Sus scrofa: one gene and its partners. The protein of the gene in region 3 binds, or shares a complex with, the protein of the main gene of each other region. Links are inferred from orthologs where the notes say so. Each region holds a gene or a part of one and is shown on either strand. Other genes may lie near its edges. The genes, in order: ARPC5, ARPC5L and ARPC1B.

Region 1 (4,229 bases), on a different chromosome or scaffold from region 3:
TGCAAGGAAGAGTCAGGACTCAAGCCAGGGTTCTCTGATTCTAAGCCCAGTACTCTTTTCAATTACAGCACAGGAAACGAACTATTGAGGTTTAACAGGGCAACAGCCAGCCCTCTGCTAGAGGTGGAATTAAACTAGACCTGACAAATGTCCAAAATAATTTTATTCTGCAAATACTTCTACTTCAGTGCTATACACATAGCCCAACAACCATTCCCTCAGTTTTAGTGCTTTTACCTGCTCAATAAGAGCTTTGCTCTCAGAAATGGGGATGTCAAATATAATAAAAAGCTGGCCTAGCGGGATCATATAAATCTTAAACGGCAAAGATAAATTTTAAAGGCTTGGTTTCCACTAATCCTTACACATTTTGTTTTCCCTCGGCGTCAAAAGAGTGTAACTCGCCCCTACTCTTTTCTAACATTCTTGCTCCAAACAACCAGTTATTTTAAGATGTCAATGACTGACCCTACCCCAAATTCCACAGGTTTATCCCAGTCTTGTCACGAGACCCCAGCCCCTGCCCAGACACCTCCCCCTCCTTCCCAAAGGTTATGATACCTAGTTCGGATTCTGCAGGTGCAGTCGAGATGCTGTTACACAGCACTGACAGATAAGATATGACCTTTCGACTCTGTCCTTGGGGACTCCCCGCTGGCCGCACAGCGTAGTTCCAATCGCGAAAAAGAGGCTCCCGGCTCTGGAACGAAGCCACAGTCGGCGTACGGTCTGAAGCGACGTCTCTGACAACTAGAACGATGCTGGGCGACTGGGCGTGCATCACTCCGCCTCATACTCCTGTCAACTGCAGGGGACTTGGTCCGGCAACCAGTCCATCCCACCTCACAGGCAAGTCCGTGCCAGCCGGACCTTACGCAGGACACCGATGGCAGGTCGTTGGCGGCGGCAGTGGCAGCACAAGCCAAGGCCACCCGCCCTCCGAGCCCATCGCCGCCAACCTAAGACCCCCTAGGCTGGACCGCAGAGAAGCGTTTCTATGGAAACCCCCCAGGGATCACGTGACGCACGTGGACGCCCAATCGCCTCTTACCTCTGCCCGCGGCGCCGCTTTCTGCCCTCCCCTGCCCCGCCCCCTCCCGCCCCCGCCTCCTTCACCCAGCCCCGCCCCTTTCCTGCAGCGAGTCCGCACCTGCGCACTGCGTCCAGCGCGCTCCCTCCCTCCTGCGCTCCCGGGCTGGGAGGGGGCCGTGGGGGTGGTGGAGGAGGGTTGGAGGAGAGCGCGTTCCTGAGAAGGAAGAGGCGCCGCCAGCGCGCAGGCCCAGAACCACCCGGGCCGGGGCTGCCGGCCGACGCCTCTGAGCGGAAGAGGGAAGTGAAGGCGGCAGTCTGCGGGTGCCAGCCGGGTTGGGCTTGCTAAGGTAGAGGCAGCACCGAGGGGAGGCCTTGGCCGCCGGTCCGGATCGAGGATGTCGAAGAACACGGTGTCGTCGGCCCGGTTCCGGAAGGTAGACGTGGATGAGTACGACGAGAACAAGTTCGTGGACGAGGAAGACGGGGGCGACGGGCAGGCCGGGCCCGACGAGGGCGAGGTGGACTCCTGCCTGCGGCAATATCCTTCTGTTCGCCGCCCCCCCACCCCACCTGGCCCTTCTTCCGGGACCCGCTGCGGGCAGGGGGTGAGGGGGGCGGGCCCCGGCCGGGAGCCGGGCGCGGAGCTGCTCCCAGTGCCCACGGCTCCACCCGGTCTCTTTGGGGGTCACGGGTTCTCAGAGGGCAGGGGACTCTCCCATTCCTACCGACTCGCCCCGAGACCCCAGGGTCCAGCCCTCGGGAACCTGCCCTTCCGGCGCGCCGTCCACTCCCCGGATTCCTCAGGTTGCGCCAGGAGTTCTCGCCTCCGGGAATTCCGCGGGGCCGGCCGCGCCCTCGCGGCGGTGCAGCTGGTCAGTCGGACTGCTGCGCGGCGCTTAAGTTGTCCTCCCAGAACGGTATTTACCCGGGTCTCATTAGCTCCCGAGTCTGATTGAGAGAACAGGCGTCTTTCTTCAGTGATTTTGTTTTCATCGTGGTAGTGGTTTTGTTTTGGCAGCATTAGGATAGATTCTTTCCTGCCAGCAGAGATGGGGCGGTTTGCAGGGTTGAGGCCCCCTCCGTCCTTCCAGTCCGGGGGCTCTTTTTTAGGAGACAGGGATTTGGCAAAATATAGATTGCACAGAATTTTTTACCTGGGGAAAAGGGAGTGAGTGCAAAACCACCGCAGCTCCCCAGAAAGAATCTGGGAGCTTTTTACCTGTTAAGCAAAGGACAGTAGAAAGAAGACGGGGAATGCATGTGGAGAATCCCTGGAAATATTTAAAATAAACCCCAATGAATAAAATAGAAGAAAATGAATCATTTGCGCAAAACAGAAGCATTTTGTAATCCTGGAATCGTTTCCCTTTTAGTTAAAATGTGTCTGTCAGTTCCTGGGTTTTGGTTTTGCATATTTGAATATTCATGACTTTGAGGGAGTATTGGCATCAGATCTTTTTTAGGAAAATGTAAATGTTACAATAACCAAAGCTGTAGTTTCAAAGATTCTCAATTACTGACCCACTCATTTCTCATTATCCTTGGGTGTATTCATAAGGTAAGGAAGGCTTTTTAGACTCTTTCCGCCTCAGTGTCCTATTAAATTCAACGTGGAAATATATGAGCGAAAATATTTGGTCACAACCACAGCTGGTCTTAGAGGCACCTAAAGTACAGCATTAAACATTTGTCAACATACAGATGTTTCTTTGATTTCTCTGACTTTCACAATCAGCTGTTGCTGTTTTGCATTATTTAAATACTTCAGTGTTTGGGGTCTTATAAGTGAACCAGTCTGCAGAAGGCGTGCTTCTCTAGAAGTCCATTAAGCCTTGAAAATAACAGTCTACCAACAACCATAGTTTTTTTGGTCAGACCTTTTCCTTCAGAATATAAATGATGTCTGTCTAAAAACATTCTTTGTGATGAAAAAATGATGTTTCATGAGACTAACATTTTAGATAACGATGATGACTCTTAAATGGTACTGCTGTATCCACAGAGTGGATCTGCTTTTTAAATCAGTTCATCTTAAAATGTAAAGATGCTGTCTTACTGTCTCTTCTACTCTTGTTACAAGAAGAGACAAGCCCTATCAGGCACCACAGATGGAGGAACAAGAGAACTCTGTGGTTTTCCTTTTAGGGAAATAACTGTACATTCTGACAGTCTGATTGGCCTTCTGTTTCTCATACTTGCTAACTCACTGGTGCTTTCAAGTGAGACTAAATGTAATAGGTGTGGCCTAAGGTAGTTTGAATGACCTTTATGAACTGTGAGAGCAAACATCCAAAAGAGAAAAATTAAGCTGACACCTAAGGGTCATTGAATTGCTATATCTTCTTATGATGCCTCTTGTCATCAGTATTGGGAGATTGCTAATGTATATCATTCAGATTGCTAGAGTGATCTGCCAGCACGTTCTGTTAGCATTTCATTATATAGAATATAATTCTAGTTAAAGTTTGGTCTTTATTTTTCCAGTTAGAGTCACATAAAAGGACATATTTTGGCTGAGGATAGGATGTTTCATTTGGGGGCCAAATAATTCTGGTATATATTTTAGAATTTTAAAAATGATCACTACATAATGGTTTGCACATGTGTCTTCCTGGCAAATGGAAGATTATCCAGGTGTTCAATTAATAATTAGCGCCAAGGATGAAACAGTTTTTGTTTGATTTTAAAAAATGTGTTGTTCTCCCTTTTTCTTCCTCAGTATTTTATCTTTGATTGACATCCTTGCAACCAACATGCTGAATTTTCCAGTATTAAGCATAGCGACTTTAGTACTTTTCTTTTGATGCATAATGTCAAATCTGAAGAACCATTGGTTCCTGGGAGTCATAGTGCTTTCCTGAGGGCTGCCCTTTGCTGCTATATCCCTTAACCTCCTTCACAGGAAACATGACAGCTGCCCTACAGGCAGCTCTGAAAAACCCCCCTATCAATACCAAGAGTCAGGCGGTGAAGGTGAGTTGTCTTCTCTGCTGTTATCTTAGCATTCTTACCAAAACCCTCTAAAGTATCACACAATCAACAAATATTTTAACTACTCTCTCTGACAGAGAAGAGCTTACAATGTAGTTGGATTGGTAGAAAATTAATATATAGAAAAACAGCCTAACATTGAGTTGTGATAATGCTGCATGGTGTACACACTAAGTTTAAATGACCAACCAGGAGATCTTTGTTTT
Region 2 (4,163 bases), on a different chromosome or scaffold from region 3:
CTGAAAGGCAAGTTTTCCAGGACCCCTGGGACTTTTATTCAGCACCTATCCCACTGTAGGAGTCTTTTGCTGTTGTTTTGCATGCGGAAGTACCCAGGCCAGGGATAGAAGCCTTGCCACAGGAGTAAGACTGCTGGATCCTTAACCCATTGAGCTACCAGGGAACTCCTGTTGGAGTCTGTCTTTAACACCCTAGATAGCATCCTAGTCTGGCAAAATTTTTTGATCTGTAGAGACAGTTCATGAGAAGTATTTGAAGCAATGAAACGGGTCATTTCACTAACTACAGGTCTTCATTAAAAAAGAGTACTATCATATGAAAACGAAGACCCAATGTAGTCTAAGGCTAAGGCTCATTAACAGAACCCCTCAAGCAACAGCCCACGCACCACAGAGTAGCACTTGACTCTGCCGTATTTGTGCTCTGCTCAACCTTCCCCATCTCAGACTGGGGAGACCCTTACTGCTCCAGCCAGACAAGACTTCTCAGGCCCCAAGACCTCGCCCTCCGCAAGAAGGGTGGCCACTGGGCCATCTCCCTATCCCTGCCCACCTCCCCCTCGGTCAAGGTGACTGCTTCACGCGCAGGGCTCAGAATACTGAGGTCCAAATGCCTTCACTGTCTTGTCAGCACCCTGGACACACTTTAAACGTCTTTAAAATCTCCCAGTACATTAACAAGAGTCACTACAACAGTAAGGCAAAAGCAACCTCCTCTAAGCTCAGTAAGGTAGCGTCCGAAACTCCTAAAATCTGAGACCATACGTTCTCCTAACCCTACGTCACTCCCTGGGCACAAGAACTACTACTCATCCTTCAGGCCTCAGCTGGATAGGTTTCTTCTCCAAGAAACCTATCCAGCACTCGGCAGGCAGCGCTGGGTCTCTTCTCCCGGTGACCCATGCCCCCTCAATCTGGACAGTGATGACACCCAGAGTCCCCGACCATGCACGCCCTCGCCCCTTCCAGAGCCAGGGGCTCCTCCGGTGCAGGAACGAAGCCGAAGAAGAGTGCAGTTATGGCGCCGCCCAGGTGCTGAGCCTTCGCGGGATTGGGCGCCTGTTTCCCAGTCAGGAAGACTTAGGCTACACGAAGATAGGAGTCCCGGAGAGAGTCACAAGGCCGTCTTCCAGAACAGCTTCTCGGCGCTTCCCGCCACACCCCGCCCATCCCTCCTACCGGCACTTCCGGTTCCGGCGTGGCCCGGAAGTGGGCGGGCAGCTGCGGCTGCGCGCGGAGGAGGTGGAGGAGGTGCCGGGTCGCCGCTTCCCGCCCCCGAGCCGGAGCCGGTTCCGAGCGGAGTGGAGTGGAGGTCTGCCCCGGAGAGGAGCTGGCTGAGCGGGCGCCGAGCCCCCGCCATGGCCCGGAACACATTGTCCTCGCGCTTCCGTCGAGTGGACATCGATGAATTTGATGAGAACAAATTCGTGGACGAGCAGGAGGAGGCGGCGGCGGCGGCGGCCGAGCCAGGCCCGGACCCTAGCGAAGTGGACGGGCTCCTGCGGCAATATCCTTCCCCAGCGCGGCGGCCTGGGCTCCCCTTTGGCCTGGCCTTCCCACTCCCCTCATCCCCGGCTCCGGCCCTTCAGGCCGACCTCCCCAGTTCTCTCATCCGTGGTTCCCTCAGGTCAGTCTCTCAGCTCCCTACCGATCCAGCTCCCCTCGGACCAGGCATCCCCACTTCTCTCACCCGGCCTCTCTACTTCCCTTGTCCCCGGCCCGGACCCCTGGAGCCCCTGTATCCTGGTGGGCCGGCTTGCTCGGCGGCCCCAGCAGCATGCCGGACTGGCGTCTGGCTCGGCTGGCCCCTCCTCTGCGAGGCCTCTCCTCTTTCCTCCCCCTTGCCTCCTCATCCCTCTCAGGCTGGCCCTTCCTTGGGTGCCCTGTCACTCCATCTCTCCCAGGCAGGAAACAGGGCCATTCTCGGGCTTGATCGGCGGGAGGGGCCAAGGTGAGCTACCGCTGAGTAATTGAGAGGCCAGGGCGGCTCCCAGACACAGTCCTCTCGGGCTGGATTGCAGCACCACATGAAAATAGGTGGGTGGGTGGCTTCGGGGAAGAAAGGACCCACGTGGGAGCGAAGGCTGCAGCCTTAGCCTTAGTCCGGCCCTGAGGTCTGCGATTCCATCTCCCATCCCAGAATCGTTCTGAACGTTCCAGCTTGATGCCCCTCTTTCTCACCTCTTCGTACTTTCCTACAACCGTTGGGCTTTGGACCTCCATGGTCTTAGCCACTTTCAACAAGTGAGTCTTGGCTCCTTCCCCCCAATAGCCTTCTTGTTCAGAAAGCAGTGGAAAAAACTAGTAGTTTAGAGCTAAGAAAAACCAGGCAACGTAAAGTGAGATGTAAAAGTAGAGCCCCACGACTGGAAATGAGTCTTCTGTGGTCACAGAAAACAAGCATTTAGAAAACAAGATTAAAAATAGAGGTGGTTGTCACAGCCTGCTTGGTCGCTTAGCAGTTTGAGCACAGGAAACTGACTTATTCTCACAGGAAGGATTTTTCTTTATTCAAATAGTGTTACAGGAAGTGCCCACCCCTCCCCCGCACTTGCCAGGGCAAGGTTGGAGGCTCAGGCTGTACTGTATATAAATCAGGTTCTGGGTGTTTAATCATTTGACTCAGCTTGGCAAGTCGAACCCATTTGACTGCCTTTGGGAGGAGTCCTGCAGTGTTCCTCCAGTGGGCCTTGAAACAAAAACCTTCAGACATTTTTTGTTTGAACAAATGTGTTTTCAAAGATGGGGATTCAAACTTGGATTTCCTGCCCCATCAGGATCACCTTTCTTACCCCATTGGTGAAATGGAGTTATGAGAAGGTACCCATGAGGGAACCTTGATTCTGCAGTCTGGTGCAGAACCTGGCCTGTGGGCAGGCATTGCCGAAAGGGCTCCAGAGTCAGGCCTGTGGCTCAGACCATCCACAGAAGGGGAGAACAAGGCCTGTTTATCTGCTGTCTTCGTCCTGGTGCTGTAGGGACTTATCAAAGGTCATGTCTTGGTTATGCTTCTGATGTGATAGGTTCCTTGAGGCTGCTTGGAGGCAGGGGATGGTAGTTTCTTCACTAATGGCAGTGTCAGAAACCTGGTTACCACGGAGGATGTACTTCTTGGGATTGGGGAAAGGGAGGTTAGCAGATGAGAACGGAAATCCTGGCAAATGTAGGGCCGGGAAGGGAGGAGGAAGGAACTAATATTTGCTGAGTCCTTACCGTGTGCCAGGTATTGGATTTACATTAGATTAATAAACTATAGAACAGGTTTCTAGGAGTCTTAGGACAGAGCAAGGGGAGTAGGGATAGGCGTTGATGGGGGACGGGGGTGTGGGGAGTAAGCCTGTCCTAGTGCGTAGAGGGAGGCCTGTGGTGATGGGAGATCACACAGATGAAATGGAGCATGGGCTGCACATCCGCACACACCCAGCTCAGTCATGCTCTGGCTCTGTGACTTTGAGCAGATCTCATTCGCTCTGTGACCCTCGGCATCTACCTCTGTGAAAGGGAGGAGAACCAAGCTTGGCTTACAGGTTCAACAGCGGCATCACCGGACAACATGCCAGAAGGCTTCAGCACAGGGCTGGACACACAGCAAGTGTCCTGGATGTGCACCTAGGGTCTGTGCGTGGCGTGGCAGCCAGAGGTTGTAGAAAGAGCTTGGCTTTGGAATCAGGCATACTTGGGTTTGAAGGCCACCTGGACAGCTTAGCTTTGTGACCCTGGGCAGGTCATTTTCCTTCTTTGAGCCTCAGATTCATTGCCTTTAAAATCAGAATAATCACTCTTGTCACAAAGAACTGTTAGCAGGGATGAGATTACATGTGAAAACACCTGGGCACAGGCTCTGAGCCCTTGTAGGGATTTTTAAGCACTAGATCCTTTTCTTGCTTGCTGAGGTACCTTTTGGTCCCTTGGAGCGGGAATCTGGCAAGAGCAGTGGTTTTGAGTGATTTTGCACTCTCCTCCCCCTAAAGAAATTTGTCTATTTTTGGACATATTTTGATCGTTACAACTTGGGGGGTGCTACTGGGATCCAGTGCAGAGAGGCCAGGGATGCTGGTAAATTGTATGATGCACAGGGTAGACCCTACATCAGTCATCTGGTCTAAAATGTCAGCAGTGCTGTGGTTGAGAAACCCTGATCTACAGGTGACTAGGTGCTGAGT
Region 3 (3,361 bases):
CTGGGATGGAGATGAGGGTTACGCTGGGAGAGGGCTGGGCAGGAGTGGACGCGGATTGGTCCAAGGTGCAGGGCAGGAGGGAGGAGGCAAGCTGGGGATTGGCTGTGGAGCATGGGGCCAGCATGAGGGGCACCAGCACATGTCCTGGGCTGCGTCAGCCGTGGCTGGTCAGTCCACAGGTGTGGGCTCGAGGGCCCTGGGAGTCCCTGGACCCAGACGTGTCCCGGTGATCGTGAAGGTGCAGGTCATGAAAAGCTGGCTCGGGCACCCACACACTTGGCCGGGCCGGTTTGGGAGAGGGAGTCCCTGGTGGGGCCCCTCCCAGACGCCCAGTCACCCTCTAATTTGCCTGTCCTGGCAGGATCTTCTCAGCCTACATCAAGGAGGTGGAGGAGCGGCCAGCACCCACCCCCTGGGGCTCCAAGATGCCCTTCGGGGAGCTGATGTTTGAGTCCAGCAGTAGCTGCGGCTGGGTGCATGGCGTCTGCTTTTCAGCCAGTGGTAGCCGCGTGGCCTGGGTCAGTCATGACAGCACCGTGTGCCTGGCTGATGCCGACAAGAAGATGGCGTGAGTACAGGTCACCTGAGCAGGTGGGGCGGCAACCAAGGTGCTGGACACGAGGGGCCGGGGGGACTCACATTTCTCTCTCACTCAGCGTGGCGACTCTGGCCTCTGAAACGCTACCACTGCTGGCTCTGACCTTCATCACGGAAAACAGTCTGGTGGCAGCGGTAAGGGGGGACGGGGCAGTCACCGGTGACCGCAGGTCTCCCAGAGAGCCTGGAGATGCCCAGGCAGCTCTCTGCTTGTCCCCGCTTCTGCTTTCCGTCCTTCTTGTCTCCCTCCCATCCATCCATCCATCCATCTTTATTGGTCAGAATAGGTTAAGAAAATCTCCGGTTGCAGTGGCTCCACACGGTAAATGTGTATTTCTCGCTCAGTTTGAATGTCCAGCGTGGGTGCTGGGTGGGGCCTCTGCTCACCGTAGATGGAGGCTTTGTCTCCGGGGTGAGGCGGGGGAAGTGGAGACCTGGGCCCTGGGTCCTAACCTGTCTGTGTACATCCTCTTGGCCCATGCAAGTGACAAGGCCACACCTCACTCAGGAATGGGTACCTGTAGCGGGAGGACAGTTCTACTGGATATTCTACTTGGCCCCCCATCTAGCAAGCCTCTTTTCAGGCCTCAGCAAACCTACCCTCCCAGAGGGAGATCAGGCCTGCTTTGCCTAGAGACACGTCCAGCTGTGGGGTCTCTCCCAGAGCAAATGTAACCGTCCCAGCAGGACGTCCCAGGGGAGTCCCAGACAAGCGCTCTCAGCTAGAAGCTGGCCTTACTGGTGGAGGGGCTGCTCCTAGATGCTCAGCCCCAACATCTGGTCCCTCTTACTCTACCTAGGGTGGGTGGCTTTGTTTCTGAGTTGTCGTCCGCTTCCTGGTGCTGCATCCAGGTTCTGAATCTGGCCTCTGGGACCCCCAGATTCATGGCTGGATTGCCCCCTACCCCCCGTCCCCCCACTGTGCCTCCCCTTGGGCCCATCTCCCTTGGTGGAAAACGGGGCGCCGCGCCTGCCCTCGGCCGGCGCTCCATGGGCACCCCGCCCCGCCACAGGGCCACGACTGCTTCCCGGTGCTGTTTACCTACGACGGCGCCGCGGGGACGCTGAGCTTCGGGGGGCGGCTGGACGTGCCCAAGCAAAGCTCGCAGCGCGGCCTGACGGCCCGCGAGCGCTTCCAGAACCTGGACAAGAAGGCGAGCTCGGAGGGCAGCGCGGCGGCGGGCGCGGGCCTGGACTCGCTGCATAAGAACAGCGTCAGGTGAGCGCGCCGGGCGGCTCCGCTCCCACCCGCCGCCTCGGAAGCGGCTCAGACTCTCGAGGCTGCGCAAAAAGAGCCTCAGCGGAGCGCGGAGCAGGCAGCCTCGCTGTGGGGCCTCGGAGGGCGGGGGTCTCCAGGCGGTAACCAGCGGGCCCCAGGGGAAGCGGGTCTCGTTCTAGAACCTGGAGGGGCGGAGCGGGGCGGGACTGAGGGCCCGGCGGCACCTCCTTGAGGAACTGGAGTGAAACGGGGCCGGAGCGCCCCCCCCACCCCCCGCCAGGTCCTTCCAAGCCAGCCACAGGGGTCCACCCCACGGCAGGTTACAGGGAGAAGTGTGGCTTCGTTTCCACTTGGTAGCACGCCTCTGTCACTCTAAGCCCCAGCCACGCGTGTCCTGAGCTCTTGGCACGCTCCTTGCTCACTACTGCGCATCCCTGAAGCGGGCGCAGGAGCCGGGTCCTGGGATCCTTCACAGCCCGCCTCCTGGGCTGTCCCTGCTGGGCACACGTCCCTCATTGGAGCAGGCTCCCCAGAAGTCCGGGAGCTCCTGGAGGGCAGGGTGGGTGGGAGTCTCGCATGGGCACAGGCGGGGATCTGTAAAGCTCTCCTCCCCTCTGCAGCCAGATCTCTGTGCTCAGTGGAGGGAAGGCCAAGTGCTCGCAGTTCTGCACGACGGGCATGGACGGTGGCATGAGCATCTGGGACGTGAAGGTGAGGCCACCCCGGGCCCTCTCCCCTCCCCCACCCGTTCTCCCTGGCAGCAGGCCGGGATGCCCCAGTCCCTCATTCCTGCAGAAGGGCACGTGATGGGAGGGGGGCCTGGGGGTGGGGGTGGAGCGGTAGCCCCTTGCCACCTGGGCCTTGGCACCTTTCTTTAGGGTTAGGATCCAAACCCAGGTCTGCCTGAATCCGAAGACCAGGTGCCCTGTCCCTGCTCAGGTCCCTCGGTAGGGTGTCTGCAGCACAGCTGAGAACCAGCCTGTCTGTTCTGTCTCCTTCCAGAGCCTGGAGTCAGCCTTGAAGGACCTCAAGATCAAATGACCCGTGAGGCGTCTGCGCCCTCATCCCAGCTGCTGGGGGAAGAGGGTCGGGAAGGCTAAGGATCGCTGTGCTGAATGTTTCTAGGGTACCAGTCCGGGTCCCCACAGATGCTGCTCCCTGGGGGTGGGGGTGGGAGAGGCTTTTCTTACCTATTGAAGGAACAGTTGCCTTTTTCTTAAGGAAATGCTTTCATTTATTGTAAAAAAAAAAAAAAAAGTCCCCCAAGCACTCTGCTGGTCACGAACTGCTTCAAACAAGGTGGTAATAAAAATGCAGCTGTAGAGACAACGTTCCTGTGTCTAGAAGGAGGGTTAGTTTGGGCAGAACTTTGGTAGCTTACTTTTGCTTGCCAGCAAAGCTGCTCGTTACACCCAAGATGGTTAAACCTCCCCAGTGTGGTTCCTCCCTGCGTGGAGTCCAGCCTGGGAGCTGCCAGGACCGGTTGTCTTTTCCCGCCACTCATTCTGCTGCTGGACTCCTAGACAGGCGGTTGCACATTCTAGG

Evidence for each region.
Region 1: ARPC1B (region 3) and ARPC5 share a complex: the UniProt entries of both Homo sapiens proteins name them as parts of the arp2/3 complex. The link is inferred for Sus scrofa from reciprocal best matches to the Homo sapiens genes ARPC1B and ARPC5.
Region 2: the proteins of ARPC1B (region 3) and ARPC5L are in contact, whole or in part, in a cryo-EM structure (PDB 6YW6), measured with the Homo sapiens proteins. The link is inferred for Sus scrofa from reciprocal best matches to the Homo sapiens genes ARPC1B and ARPC5L. Residues at the interface, in NP_005711.1 of Homo sapiens: Arg118, Lys138, Arg142, Phe164, Ser201, Gly203, Trp204, His222, Asp223, Ser224, Thr225, Leu240, Ala241, Ser242, Glu243, Thr244, Leu245, Pro246, Phe281; in NP_112240.1 of Homo sapiens: Asn21, Lys22, Arg102, Gly139, Leu140, Gly141, Ile144, Arg145, Thr148, Arg150, Lys151.

What each region holds. Positions count from the first base shown.
Region 1 is NC_010451.4:124,845,105-124,849,333, reverse strand, and holds the start of ARPC5 (actin-related protein 2/3 complex subunit 5), read left to right. Parts: upstream 1-1,427; coding exon 1,428-1,570; intron 1,571-3,932; coding exon 3,933-4,005; intron 4,006-4,229. UniProt on the Homo sapiens protein: Component of the Arp2/3 complex, a multiprotein complex that mediates actin polymerization upon stimulation by nucleation-promoting factor (NPF).
Region 2 is NC_010443.5:265,644,442-265,648,604, forward strand, and holds the start of ARPC5L (actin-related protein 2/3 complex subunit 5-like protein), read left to right. Parts: upstream 1-1,358; coding exon 1,359-1,507; intron 1,508-4,163. UniProt on the Homo sapiens protein: May function as component of the Arp2/3 complex which is involved in regulation of actin polymerization and together with an activating nucleation-promoting factor (NPF) mediates the formation of branched actin networks.
Region 3 is NC_010445.4:6,339,497-6,342,857, forward strand, and holds the end of ARPC1B (actin-related protein 2/3 complex subunit 1B), read left to right. Parts: intron 1-361; coding exon 362-568; intron 569-656; coding exon 657-732; exon of another isoform or gene 733-1,610; coding exon 1,611-1,816; intron 1,817-2,436; coding exon 2,437-2,527; intron 2,528-2,818; coding exon 2,819-2,857; downstream 2,858-3,361. UniProt on the Homo sapiens protein: Component of the Arp2/3 complex, a multiprotein complex that mediates actin polymerization upon stimulation by nucleation-promoting factor (NPF).